Mus musculus: one gene and its partners. The protein of the gene in region 1 interacts with the protein of each later gene in a biochemical or structural test. Links are inferred from orthologs where the notes say so. Each region holds a gene or a part of one and is shown in the gene's direction. Other genes may lie near its edges.

Region 1 (4,339 bases):
TGCCCTTGTGTATACCTGTGCTTGGGTGTGGAGGTCACAGGTTAACTTGGAATAGGTTCTCTCCTTTCCTCAAGTTGGTCTCAGGGATCCAACTCAGGTCATTAGGCATGGCAACAAGTACCATCACCCACAGAGCCATCAACAGCTCCTACATTGCCTTTTAAATACAAGAATGTTACCATTAAGAACAAAATTAAAATTTTTTTCCTGACATCTTAGTGAAGCTGCAGTGGTCCACACGACTCCCTGAGTTTCGCCATGCCGCCCAAAGACGACAAGAAGAAGAAAAATGTCAGAAAGTCGGCCAAAAAGGACAAAGACCCAGTAAATAAATCTGGCGCCAAGGCTAAGAAGTGGTCCAAAAGCAAAGTTCGGGACAAGTTGGACAATCTTGTCCTGTTTGACAATCTCTGTAAGGAAGTTTCCAACTATAAGCTTATTACTCCATCCATGGTCTCCGAGAGACTGAAGATTCCCGGGTCCTTGGCCAGGGCAGCCCTCCAGAAGCTCCTTAGTAAAGGACTTATCAAGCTGGTTTCAAAGCACAGAGCTCAAATGATTTATACCAGAAACACAAAGGGTGGAGACGCCCCAGCTGCTGGTGAAGAACAGGTTCAATCAGCTGTGCATTTGAGAAAATAAAACTTTATTGAATCAAAAAAAAAAAAAAAAAAAGAACAAAATTAAAAATCTGACCTGAAGGCATTTTTGTGTTTTCTTTCATATTTCAGAAAGACCTGCACCTACAGATTGCTCCTCCTCATACAGGCCCTCTAACATACAGATTCTCTGTGACTGGCAGAGTTTTGTCTCTGGGGTCCACCCTTCTCTGTAAGGAGAGGTGATCAACCTTGCCACTTGCAATGAAACCTTGTCAAAAATCCTTCCCATATTTTCTCATTCTACACGGCACATTCCCTGATGCTAACAAGCCAGTGGCTGCGGATGGAACCCTCGAGTCCTGTCCAGTTGAGGTCTTGGTTGGGACCAGCAGCCTCAGGGCTCCCAGTGCAAGCAAGCTCTAGGACCCTCTTTTTCTGGGGTGGTGGTGGTGAGGCTGAAGAGTTGTGTGACCTTGGAAAAGTCCCTTTCTTTTTCATGGAAAGTGACGGTCGGATTAGTTACTTCCGAGTTTGATGGTGATTACACAATATGGAAAACCCGTGCCTTTAAGCATCTATTGATCTTCGAAGACCCAGTCACGCAGGGTACCAGAGGCTGCTCTCAGGCCTTGGCGAAGGGGGGTGGGGGGGAGTAGTGAGCATCTAGAACCCGCGCCTGAACTCTCGCGAGATTTCCTCCCACTGCCTCGCGACGTCATCCCCTCTGCGGCTGTGCTTGCGCCGGCGCCTGCGCCGGCGCGTAGGGTGCTCGCAGGGGCGGCCCGTATCCCTCCGCCGCTGGCGCGGCCCGGCCCTCCCTCCCTGGCCCGCCAATCCCGGCGCCTCCCGACCTGCCCCTCGGCCTGGGCCCACCCTGCGCTCCGGCGGCCCCACCCCGGCGGCGCCGCCCGCCCGCGCGTCCCTTAGTCCACCTGCACCAGGCAGGAGAGCAGGCTCCCCCCGGCTCCGCCACCGTAAGGCGCTGGGCGAGCCCGGAGCTTGGGGGCTCTTCCTCCCAGGCGGAGGGATCCACGGCGGCCGAGGAGGCGGCGCTGAGCGTACGAGGAAGAGGCAGCTACGGCGGCGGCGGCGGCTGTGGCAGCAGCGCATAAAGGGGCCGCCGCCGGGTGATGCGGTGACCGCTGCGGCAGGCCCAGAAGCTGAGTGGGGCCTCGGCCCTCAGCTCGTCTGATCCGCACTCCCGGGAGCTCCCGGTCTTCTCCGGTCGACTCGCGACCGCTCGGGCGGTCTCAGGCCCCCTCGCCCCTTCCCCGTCCCTCCCCCGTCCCCGTCCCCGCCCCGGGGGCCGTCGCCACCGTTTCCCACCATGGCTCTGAAGAGAATCCACAAGGTAAGCGGCCAGGGGGTTTGCGGTGGGCATGGGCCGCTGGGCGGGCCCCCTGAATAGGCTGCGGCCTGCACTTCCCGCGATCGCCTCCGCTGGACTCGCGGCGTCTGGTTCCTTCTGCCGGCGCCGGCCCCAGGGGGGCGGCCTTCACACCCCGCTCCCAGAGATGGCGCCCAGGAAGGCCCGTGCGCGGGGCCCTGGCTTAGGCCAAAGTTGCTCTTGTCCTCGCAGGCTCTAATCCCCGACGCCCTTCCAGGCCTCCCTCCAGCCTGAGACTTGATGCTCTTTAGGGCTATTGTCCGGCCGAAAAAGGGACTTGGGGCGGCGCAGGGGGGTTGGGGGGTAGGGGTGGGGCGGCTGGTAGTTGGGTGGCCCTGTGATCTGAGGTCGATAGGCTGCTCGCAGTCTGTCCCCCTACTCTGGTGCCCTCCTTCGAGCTGCCTGAGATCGAGGACATAGTTAGGCCGACCAGAGGGTCCATTTGCTCGCTCCATGACTGTTTTTCTTGAGTTCACTTAACTAACTCTGGGGCAGCTAACTGCTCCCGAAAGGCCACCTTAACTGGTCTAGAAAGTGGACTTGGAAGTCAGAGGTAAGAAAATGCCACACCGGAGGGAGGAGGGGATTAAGTGGAGAAGCGTTTTATTCCTTGGGGTTGGTGTATGTCGTCAGAAACTAACCCTTCAGTTTTGCAGGATTGGATCTAGTGGAACAACAACTGGTAGAGAGTAGAAGCCATTCAGTTAAGAAAACCGAACGTTGAAAACCGCCGGAGAAATTCCTTTCACAGACTTCTTCCAAAATGATTTTAACCCTGAAAATATATACTATGTTTGCTGAGACTTCCAATTTAGAAGGGATTTTACTCTATTTTTGGTTAGAAATAACTTCTTAATTCTTTTAAATGAAAGGTTATCCACTTATTTAATGATAGATTTAATACTATGGAGAACATTGGCTTTGATTAAAATTTAGCCCCTAGCCCCCCAAATATTAACTTCTTAGTATCACTTATGATTACTTTTCTTCCCTCTTAGAAATAGGAAGTTACCCACTGGTGAGTTTTGTTTGCTGTTTTATTTGGCTCCTCAGATGAGCGATATTAACTTGTATTAGTAAGTGGCTGGACCTGGGATAACCCATAAGGACCGATAGGGTAGGAATACAAAAGAATGGAGGTTGGAGCACAGTTCAGCAATCAATTGGACCTCATTTATTCTTTATTCAAGACTTTGTGGAATTAATTTCATTCCTTACTGTGAGTTAGCATCTTACCAACTTTTGTTTTCTTTCATTTCTTAGAACCCAGAGGGTAGACTTTAGGTAGTAAATCTTTTTTTTTTAAGATTTATTTATTATATGTAAATACACTGTTGATGTCTTCAGACACACCAGAAGGGGCATCAGATCTCATTACAGATGGCTGTGAGCCACCATGTGGTTACTGGGAATTGAACTCAGGGCCTTTGGAAGAGCAGTCAGTGCTCTTAACCACTGATCCATCTCTCCAGCCCAGGTAGTAAATCTTGTACTAAAATGAAGCAGGGTCTTTGCACAAAGAAGTTTGATCAAAAGAAAAACTGTGTAAGGGATAAGAACAAAGTAAGAAACATCTAAGTAACATGTATATGTATTTCTAAGACTTTAGTAGTCTTTATGGAGTCTAATGGAGCATTATCAATTTGAAATGGTATTGAATTAGACCTGTAAAGATTGCCCCCCAAAGCTCGGAAAGGGGAGTTTGGTTTGTGAAATTTTGTAGAGATTCTTTTTTTTTTTTTTTTTTTTTTTTTAAGGTGGAGTCTCACTAGCTCTGGCTGGCTTGGAACTTTTAACTATGGTGTAGACCAGGCTGGCCTCAACTCCATGACCCACTTGCCACTGCCTTTGAAGGGCTGAGATTAAACCATCAAGTTAATAGCTTTTAGAGTTTCTGTTAATATCTGTGCTATACAGACTTCTTCAGAGAGGGAGATGACACTGACTCAAAACATACATTTAAATCTTAGAATAACATTTGCCCGCCCAATATAGTTCCTGTTGTTGTGGGTTTTGTTTTCTCTGTGTAACAGCTCTGCCTGTGTGCTGGTCTCAAACTCTCAGATCTGCCTGCCCCTTTGCCTTCCCAGTGCCAGAAGTAAATGTGTGTGCCACCACAGCTTGCTCCTAGTGCTGTTTTTGAGTTAGGCTGTCACTGCTGGTGTTGATCCTGAGTGCTGGGATTCAGGCACGTACCATCACACCTGCCTTCACTAGACCTTTTTGTTTAGTACTAGGGATTGAATCCAAGATCTTCTGCATGCTAAGGCAAACACTCTACTACATTCTCAGTTCTTACAAATATTTTTTAAAAATCAGGTTTAGAAATGTTCATTTGACCTTAAAATTG
Region 2 (4,121 bases), on another chromosome or scaffold:
CCTCACTGTGCCTCCTGACATCCCCATTGTCAATCTACTGCCCTACCTTCATGCAAAACTTTTCCTCTAGACTAGCTCAGATTTCCCAAAGGAAACCCCTCGGGCAGGGGCGGGACTCCTACCCACCCAGCATACCCATCTACTGTGATCCAACTTGGGGAGGTGACTCCTTGAGCCTGACCACAAGACCTTTAGATCCCATCCCTCTCTTGAAAGAAAAACAAAAACAAAAACCAGAAGATACAGAGTAGGGGGGAAGTAAAAAAGAAAGAAAGAGAAAAGAATGCAGTACACTCTAACTCCCCTCTTAACAGTCAAATCTTAAAAGCTTATTTATGATCTCTTTCGCCATATTTCTAGGGTTAAAAGGGCTGAATTACTGGTTTATAAAGGAGGCAAAGGAAACAGCGAAATGACCGTCCTAAGGGACAAAAGATTTCCTCCACTATATTCGAGGCTCAGGTCTAAAAAAGTAAAAATAAAAAACCTGGGTTCTCAGGGGCCCCCAATCTCACTCCTGTTACTCAAGGTTCAAGGCTCCAAATTAAGCCATACGAAGCCTCTAGGACCCTTCTGGCTTCCCGGATCAGCCCCCACCCCCATCCTCTCCCTCCACGCCTCCTCATCCTCCCCGGGTCACTGCACGGACCACGGGGGCACGAACTAACTCACCTCCCAGTCGTGGCCTCTGAGATCCCGGAACTGGGGGGCTGGGGGAGGGGGAAGGGCTTGCTACCTCCGAGAAGAGAGGGAACCACATCCTCTACCGGGGGTCCCACCCCCAACCGAACGCCCCTTCCTGGCCCCCACACAGCGCAGAGACCTGCTCCTCCCACTGTAGCGGCCGCGGGCTTTGTCTGCTCCACCAGCTCTCTCCCAGAGGCCCGAGCCCGTGGACTCCGCGATCGCGCGCGGGAGGAGGGAGGGCACTGCAGCCACGAGGCCGCTCCGCCCCGGCCCTCATTACCATAAGAAAGAGGCCCGGGACCCGCGGGCAGAGGAGAAACGCCTTTCCACACCCGCTCCCTTCCCGCATACTGCCAGCTCCTAAAATTTCTCGGACCACAACTCCCAACCCACCCGAGGCTTTTCCCGTGACCAGTGGGCAGAGCCCGAGGGGCGCAATCCCCTTCTTGCCCGGGTTGAGGAATTCCTCCCCGCGCCCGAGGGCGGGAAACTACAACTCCCGGCATGCCCCGGGCGCCCCCGGCGCGCCCCCCTCCCGTCAGTTCCATGCTGCTCCATCCAGTTCATTTAAAACAAAAGAGTTTGAGCGCTGGAAGGGGCTGGGCTCTATTGGGGGCCACTGAGCGACGCTCCGGGACTGGGGCTCGGTGCGGGAACCTAAGGGGGCGTCTGCTCGGCGGAGGGTAGAGACTCTGGGTCCGAGGCGGAGGGGTGGGGGCTAGGGCCCGCAGCCCCCCACCCCACCCCGTCACCCCGGAGCGAGAGGAGATCTGCTTTCTTGGTTTTGCTTCTTTTCCCCCACCCCCACCCGGGGGCTGGGGCGAGGGGAGTCAGGTTACAGGGTGCTTGGGGAGGGGGGCTTAGGGGTGGGTCTATCTTTCTATCTCGCTTTCTTCCCCCCTCCCCAGCTCTTTGTTCCCCCTCCCCACACACCCCCTCCTCTCCTCTCCCCTCCCCTCCTCTCTCCTCTTCTCCCTTCCACCACCTCTCTCTCTCCCTCTCTCCCCCAGCTTTTGTTTCGCCATGCCTAGTCTAGTGGTATCTGGAATAATGGAAAGAAATGGGGGCTTTGGAGAACTAGGATGTTTCGGGGGAAGCGCTAAGGACCGAGGGCTGCTGGAAGACGAGCGCGCCCTTCAGCTGGCTCTTGATCAACTCTGCCTCCTGGGTTTGGGGGAGCCCCCCGCCCCCACGGCGGGCGAGGACGGGGGAGGTGGGGGGGGCGGCGCCCCCGCGCAGCCGGCCGCCCCCCCGCAGCCGGCCCCGCCGCCGCCGCCCGCGGCGGCCCCGGCCGCCCCGAGCGCGGCCCCCGCGGCGCAGACGCCCCAGCCCCCCACCGCCCCCAAAGGGGCGAACGACGCCAAGCTCTGCGCGCTCTACAAAGAGGCCGAGCTGCGACTGAAGGGCAGCAGCAACACCACGGAGTGCGTTCCCGTGCCCACCTCCGAGCACGTGGCCGAGATCGTGGGCAGGCAAGGTAAGCGGGCGTCTGGACACTGCGAGGGTTGGAGTGGGGGCTTGCTGTCCCCGGCACGGAAAGTTCATCGCTTCCTTCTTTGCGCGCCTCTGGCTCTGTCCCTTCCCGACAAAGGGGGCCCCGCCCCCTGCCCAGATTCCAAGTGCCACAAAGTTCCCTGCTACCCCTAGTCGGGACGACTCTCGGGACCCTTCCTCCCCTGGGGCTCCGCCCGTAGACAAAGAAATATCCTGGAACTGGGAGAGGAAAGGGGAGGGGGAGCTGCCTCCCAATCCCAGGGTCTGTGCGGAGGGGGTGTCGGCTCCTGGCTGGAAGGACTGACGGAATGTGCAATTACTTGGGAGCCCCTACTCTAGTTTCTGCTTGTATACTGGGGAGGGGGCACTCCTGGGACCTTCTGCTGTTGGAGTTGGGGACTCTGAGGGAGACCTAGTCCACGAAGCCCGACTGAAGAGCTGCCTCTTTGTTGGGCTGAGTGTAGGAATGAAAGGGGGTGTGGCCCAGGGGAGGGTCCCAGTCTGGGGAGAGGTGATGAGGGAGCCCTTGGCAAAGAGGGGTCCCTTGGTCGCTTACACACCGAAGTTGGAGGGCCCCTGTGTTTGGGGAGGGGAATTTCTGAGGAAGTACCAGTCTTGGCGTGGGCCTCTCCTCCTCCGTCTTGCTTTTGTTCTGGGCTGGCCACGGCCTGGAGCTAGGGGTCTGCAGAGAAGTCTCTGAGTGAATTCATGGGACAGGCCAGGAAGGGCATGTCGGTGAAGGGGGACAGGACAGAAACCTCCACTTGGAATATGGGGGGGGGGTGCGTGTCTGGGTGTGCTGGGAGGGGTGTTGAATTAAGCCAATGGAGTATGTTACCACACCCTCCCAGCCCAGCATCCCTGGATGGGTGGGAGTGTTGGTAAGGACCCAAATTGAACAACCTGGATCTTAGGGACCCTTCCCCTCCTAGCTTCTTGTGGGGGGGGGGCGGGATTTGGATATGGCAAAGGGGCTGGGCTGGGAGGTGGAGTGGGGGGAGGAGCTGTCCCACGGTGGGGAACAATGGAGGGGCTGCATTCCGCGGGAGTAAAGAAGAAGGCCAGTTCCTGGCAGTGGAGGGGAGGCAGGCTGGGGCCCCTACCACATATTCCACTTCATCCATCCCAGTGTTGGGGCTGGAGGATTTGGAGTGGAGGAGGGGAACTTGCCCCTCCCCTGCACAGCGCCCCCTCCCTCAATCTCTTGGGGGTTTCTGGTTTAGAAAGTTGGATTTCCCCTCCTTGTCAAACCCTGGAGATTCAGAGCCTGGTGTTGGGTGGGGATATTAATAACTTTACTTGGGTGAGGTCGTGGAAGGCACCAGGATTTAATGGGGTCCTTTACTCTTCTGCTTCCTTCACAAATGTGTCTAACCATCATAAAAGTAGAGCTTGTCCTAGTAGAATATTGTCAGAGAACAGAAGTTCTCCCTTCCCCATTCTGTAAGCAGATGGAAGTCCTTTCACCTCCCTCGTGCTGCTGCTCCCTCTCTGACTTTGACCTCTACTTCTACGGAAGCTTCTTCAGGGTTGCAGAACCCAAGATGCTGAGGCTGATACGTTCTGTACAGCCCGGCCTCAGGCTTTCTCCCTTGGGTTTGTCCTTCCAAACTCCAGATCTCCCAAAGACACCTAACTCCCTATGAAGTTAGTTTTTGGATTCAAAACTTAGGAGCCAGAACCTAGGTGCCCATCGGGGTGGCACATAATAAACAGAGGTGGCAGAAAGTATTGTTCTTCTATCCTCCAAGCCTCAGGAACCAAGCCACCATCCAGATATTAAAGCAGCAAGGCTGTGGGCTTGGCAACAAGTAGGACTTCTTATCTGCCAACAGGTCTGAAAAGAAATGGGGGTTACATTTTTCCTTCCTACTATATGTTAGGTACATTCCTAACCCACTGAGTCCCACCAATTCATTAGGGTTAGAAAAGACACTTTG
Region 3 (3,643 bases), on another chromosome or scaffold:
CACAAGTGCCTGCATCCACAGAGCCATGTCATCCACCCGTGCTTGTCAGCAGTTCAATGTCAAAAACTAGACGAATAAAGCAGATGGGTTAATCTAACTTTATAAACTCTGTCCAACAGAAATGTACAGCAGAACATCCATCCAGAAAACCAGGAGCTAGTCAGAGTGCTTCGAGAACAATTCCAAACAGAACAGGTATGCTGATGTAGTATATATATTTATAGAAGGGGATGTTGTAGTTTCCTGTTATAGGAGTGGTGATAAGACATTAGAAAGTAGCTTTAAGAAGCATCAGCTGCTTTACTCCTTACATTATATTGTTCCTCAGACTACATATTTTCAGATTAAGCACATGTTCTTTTGACGGGACTGGGAGGACATCCAGGCAGTCTCGCGTATTCCAGGCTGGCCTGGCACTTGTTGGGGAGCTGAGAATGATCGTGATCTCCTGATCTTCCCGACTCTACCTCGGTCACAGTTACTTTTCTATTGCTGTAACTATAAGTCCAGGTACAGGCAACTTATAAAATAAAGCATTTAACTGGGGGCTTGCTTACTGTTTCAGAGAGTTGGTTCATTATCATCATGGTAGGGAGTGTGGCCGCAGACAGGCAGGCGTGGCTCTGGAGCCGAGTGAGAGACTGGGCTTCAGGTGGGCTTTTGAAACCTTGAAGCCCACCCTGAGTGACAACAAGGCCAAGTCCCCTAATCCTTCCCAAAACAGTTCCATCTGCCAGAGGCCTCGCGTTCAAATGTTATATGACCATTCTCATGGAGACCACTAGACCTCCCAAGTTCTGGAGCTACTGGCAAGAGCGATCAACCTAGTGGCATGTTGACTAGTCTTAATCTATACGGATGCATGCAGTGAGGATTTTGGTTTCTTTGAAAACCACAGAAACATATGGGAATATGTTTTCATTTTAACCTCAGGCGTGGATATGGTGTTACCTCACGTTCTCCACAGCAGCTGACTATGATTTGCATCATCCTTAAGCAGGGGCATGGTTTTGACAGCGTTTTGGAATTCTGGGGACTCTTCAGAGGGTGTCTTAAGTGCTAGAGCCCCATAGATGGCTGCTGGTTGGCTGGTTGGTGGCTGGATGCTGTTGGTTGCGGTTTATCAGGCAGTCGGGTGCAAACAGAAGAAAAGAAGGAACTAGATATCCTGACAGACAAGATCAAATTTGCTCCAAAGAACTTGACGCCCTAGTCAGTAGGAAGTAGTCTCATGATACCATCACCCTCTTTCTCCTCAGTCCTTTTCTCTCGCCTACCTAGTGTTAGGGGTTGGAAGGGTGGAAGAAGAGAGGTAGAGAAGGATGGAAGAAAGAAGAACCCAGAAGTCCAGTTACAGATACATGCATGCTTTTTATCGCCTTGTTCTAAAGGAGAACGATTTTTGTATTTGTTGTTTGTATAAAAAATGTAGTCAACTTTAACGGAAATGAAATAGATACTTCCTTTTTTATTTCTCTCTCTCTCTCTCTCTTTTTTTTTTTTTTTTTTGACACAGAATTACATGGTCCTGGCTGGTCTGGAACTTGCTGTGTAGACCAAATTGACCTCAAATTCATAGAGACATGCTTGCCTCTGCCTCCCTAATGCTGGGCTTATAGATATGAGCTATTCTGTTGGCTTTTGTTATATTCTTTGAAAAACATCAAGAAAGGTATAAGTTTTTATTTTAATATTAATTACTGGTTTTTTTTGTTTTTTTTTTTTTTTGAGGCAGGGTTTCTCTGTGTAGCCTTGGCTGTCCTGGACCTCACACTGTAGATCAGGCTGGTCTCCAACTCATGTAGATCTGCCTGCCTCTGCCTCCTAAGTGTGCAACACTGCCTGGTAGTATTTACATATTTTAATATTTTCATTTTGTAGTATTAACACTGGAATAACAATGCTACCTTCAATTATTTTAGTAATTAGTGCTATTTTAAGAAATTAAAATTCTAATTATAATATCTTAACATTTATCAAAAGTTCTTTAATTCATTTTATAATTAAGTTTGTATTTACTACTTTTGATTTTTGTGATAATTTTATTTTAAAAAGTTTAATACCTATTTATTGTATGTGTATGAATGTTTTGCCTAATGTATGTGCATCATGTATGTGCTTGGTGCCATAGAATTCAGAAGAGGATGTTAGAGCCCCTGCAGCTGGAGTTAGAGATGATTGTGAGCCATCATGTGTGTGCTGGGAACCAAACACATGAACGGCAAGAACGGGTCATGCCCTAAACTGCAGAGCCAGCTTTCCAGCCCTTGATGAAGGTGTACGTTTGCGTTAGTGCTGGATAGTTTTCTAGGTCCTTAGGTACTACAGTGAATCCTATAAGTGGAGTTTTTGCCTTCACGGCATTTTATTCCAGAATCATATTTGATGTGTGGTACTTGTACTACTATCTGATCACAACAGTGATACAATCAAAGAATATGCATATATTACATATTTGCGTGGTTTGGGGTTTTAAGACAAGGTCTCATGTAGCCCAACCCTGGGACTTGTTAGGCAGCCAAGGGTAATTTGGAACCCTTACCTTCCCGACCCTGCGTCCTCACTGTTGGGATTACAAACATGCAATGAGAAGCATGTTAACATTTACTAGGGTGGGTTTCCAAAGGACCACGTTCACATGACCAAAAGTGGTCATTTTTTCCCTACTTATAAAATGAGCAAATAATCTTAACTGGAAGATTAATTCTTGTGGAAGATAGAGCAGATATGCAAAACTTTACAGGGGACAGGTGTTCAATGAAAAGGATGACGCCAGACACGGTCCTGCAATGCTAGCATTTGAGAAGCTGGGGAGAATTGCTGCTGTAAGGTCCAGGTCTGACAGGGCTACAAAACAAGACTGTTTTAAAAACCAAAAAGGTTGTTTAAAATGTTAAAAAAATTGGTGAATATTAAGAATGATAGTTTGATATTTTTTCTGTTTTTATGGTATTGAGGATCAGACCCAGGGCCTCATGCATGTTAAGTGGGTGCTCTCCCTCTGAGTTACACTGAAGCAGGGTGTTTCGGATTCTCTAGTTTATATCGCAGCTTGTAGAATTCAAATAACATGCATTTTAATAAAGTAGAAAAGCTAGCTTTGAGTTAATCTACATTTTGTTTTCAAGTTGTGTGTAGGGAGGAAGGTGAAGGCCACTGAGTTCAAATAAAACAACTTTGCAAGCTTCTCAGACTTGCAAGACGTTAAACTATTGCGCATGTGTAATTTCTGTCTTGAGAGATGTCTGTGTCCTTTCCCCAGGATGTCCCTGCTCCTGCCCGACAGCAGTTCTACACTGAAATGTACTGTCCAATCTGCTTACATCAAGCCTCCTTTCCTGTTGAAACAAACTGTGGACATCTCTTTTGTGGTGAGCAAATTATGTCCGACTTGGTTAGAGTCACCAGCTTGAGACCTTTGTGGATTGGTAGTGGGCTAGATTGCTCATTTTCTTTTTATCACATTTATGTTCTGAGAAGAGTAGATTGCTTCACAAGTCCTGCTCTAGTTGCCACCCAAATAATAGCATATTGTTTAGTGTATTCCATACTAAGGTCTGAGGATATTGCTCAGTTGGTAGAGTGCCTGGCTATCATGCAGAAGCCTTGGGCTTGATCCCCAGGATTGTATTACCAGGTACCG

The links. The genes of interacting proteins can lie anywhere in the genome.
Region 2: the proteins of Ube2d2a (region 1) and Mex3a form a complex in vitro, tested with the Homo sapiens proteins (2 studies listed by BioGRID). The link is inferred for Mus musculus from reciprocal best matches to the Homo sapiens genes UBE2D2 and MEX3A.
Region 3: the proteins of Ube2d2a (region 1) and Rnf170 form a complex in vitro, tested with the Homo sapiens proteins (2 studies listed by BioGRID). The link is inferred for Mus musculus from reciprocal best matches to the Homo sapiens genes UBE2D2 and RNF170.

What each region holds. Positions count from the first base shown.
Region 1 is NC_000084.6:35,770,060-35,774,398, forward strand, and holds the start of Ube2d2a (ubiquitin-conjugating enzyme E2 D2), read left to right. Parts: upstream 1-1,499; 5' UTR 1,500-1,929; coding exon 1,930-1,953; intron 1,954-1,971; exon of another isoform or gene 1,972-2,542; intron 2,543-4,339.
Region 2 is NC_000069.6:88,530,685-88,534,805, forward strand, and holds the start of Mex3a (RNA-binding protein MEX3A), read left to right. Parts: upstream 1-1,261; 5' UTR 1,262-1,710; coding exon 1,711-2,164; intron 2,165-4,121. UniProt on the Homo sapiens protein: RNA binding protein, may be involved in post-transcriptional regulatory mechanisms.
Region 3 is NC_000074.6:26,125,785-26,129,427, forward strand, and holds part of Rnf170 (E3 ubiquitin-protein ligase RNF170), read left to right. Parts: intron 1-119; coding exon 120-195; intron 196-3,262; coding exon 3,263-3,371; intron 3,372-3,643. UniProt on the Homo sapiens protein: E3 ubiquitin-protein ligase that plays an essential role in stimulus-induced inositol 1,4,5-trisphosphate receptor type 1 (ITPR1) ubiquitination and degradation via the endoplasmic reticulum-associated degradation (ERAD) pathway.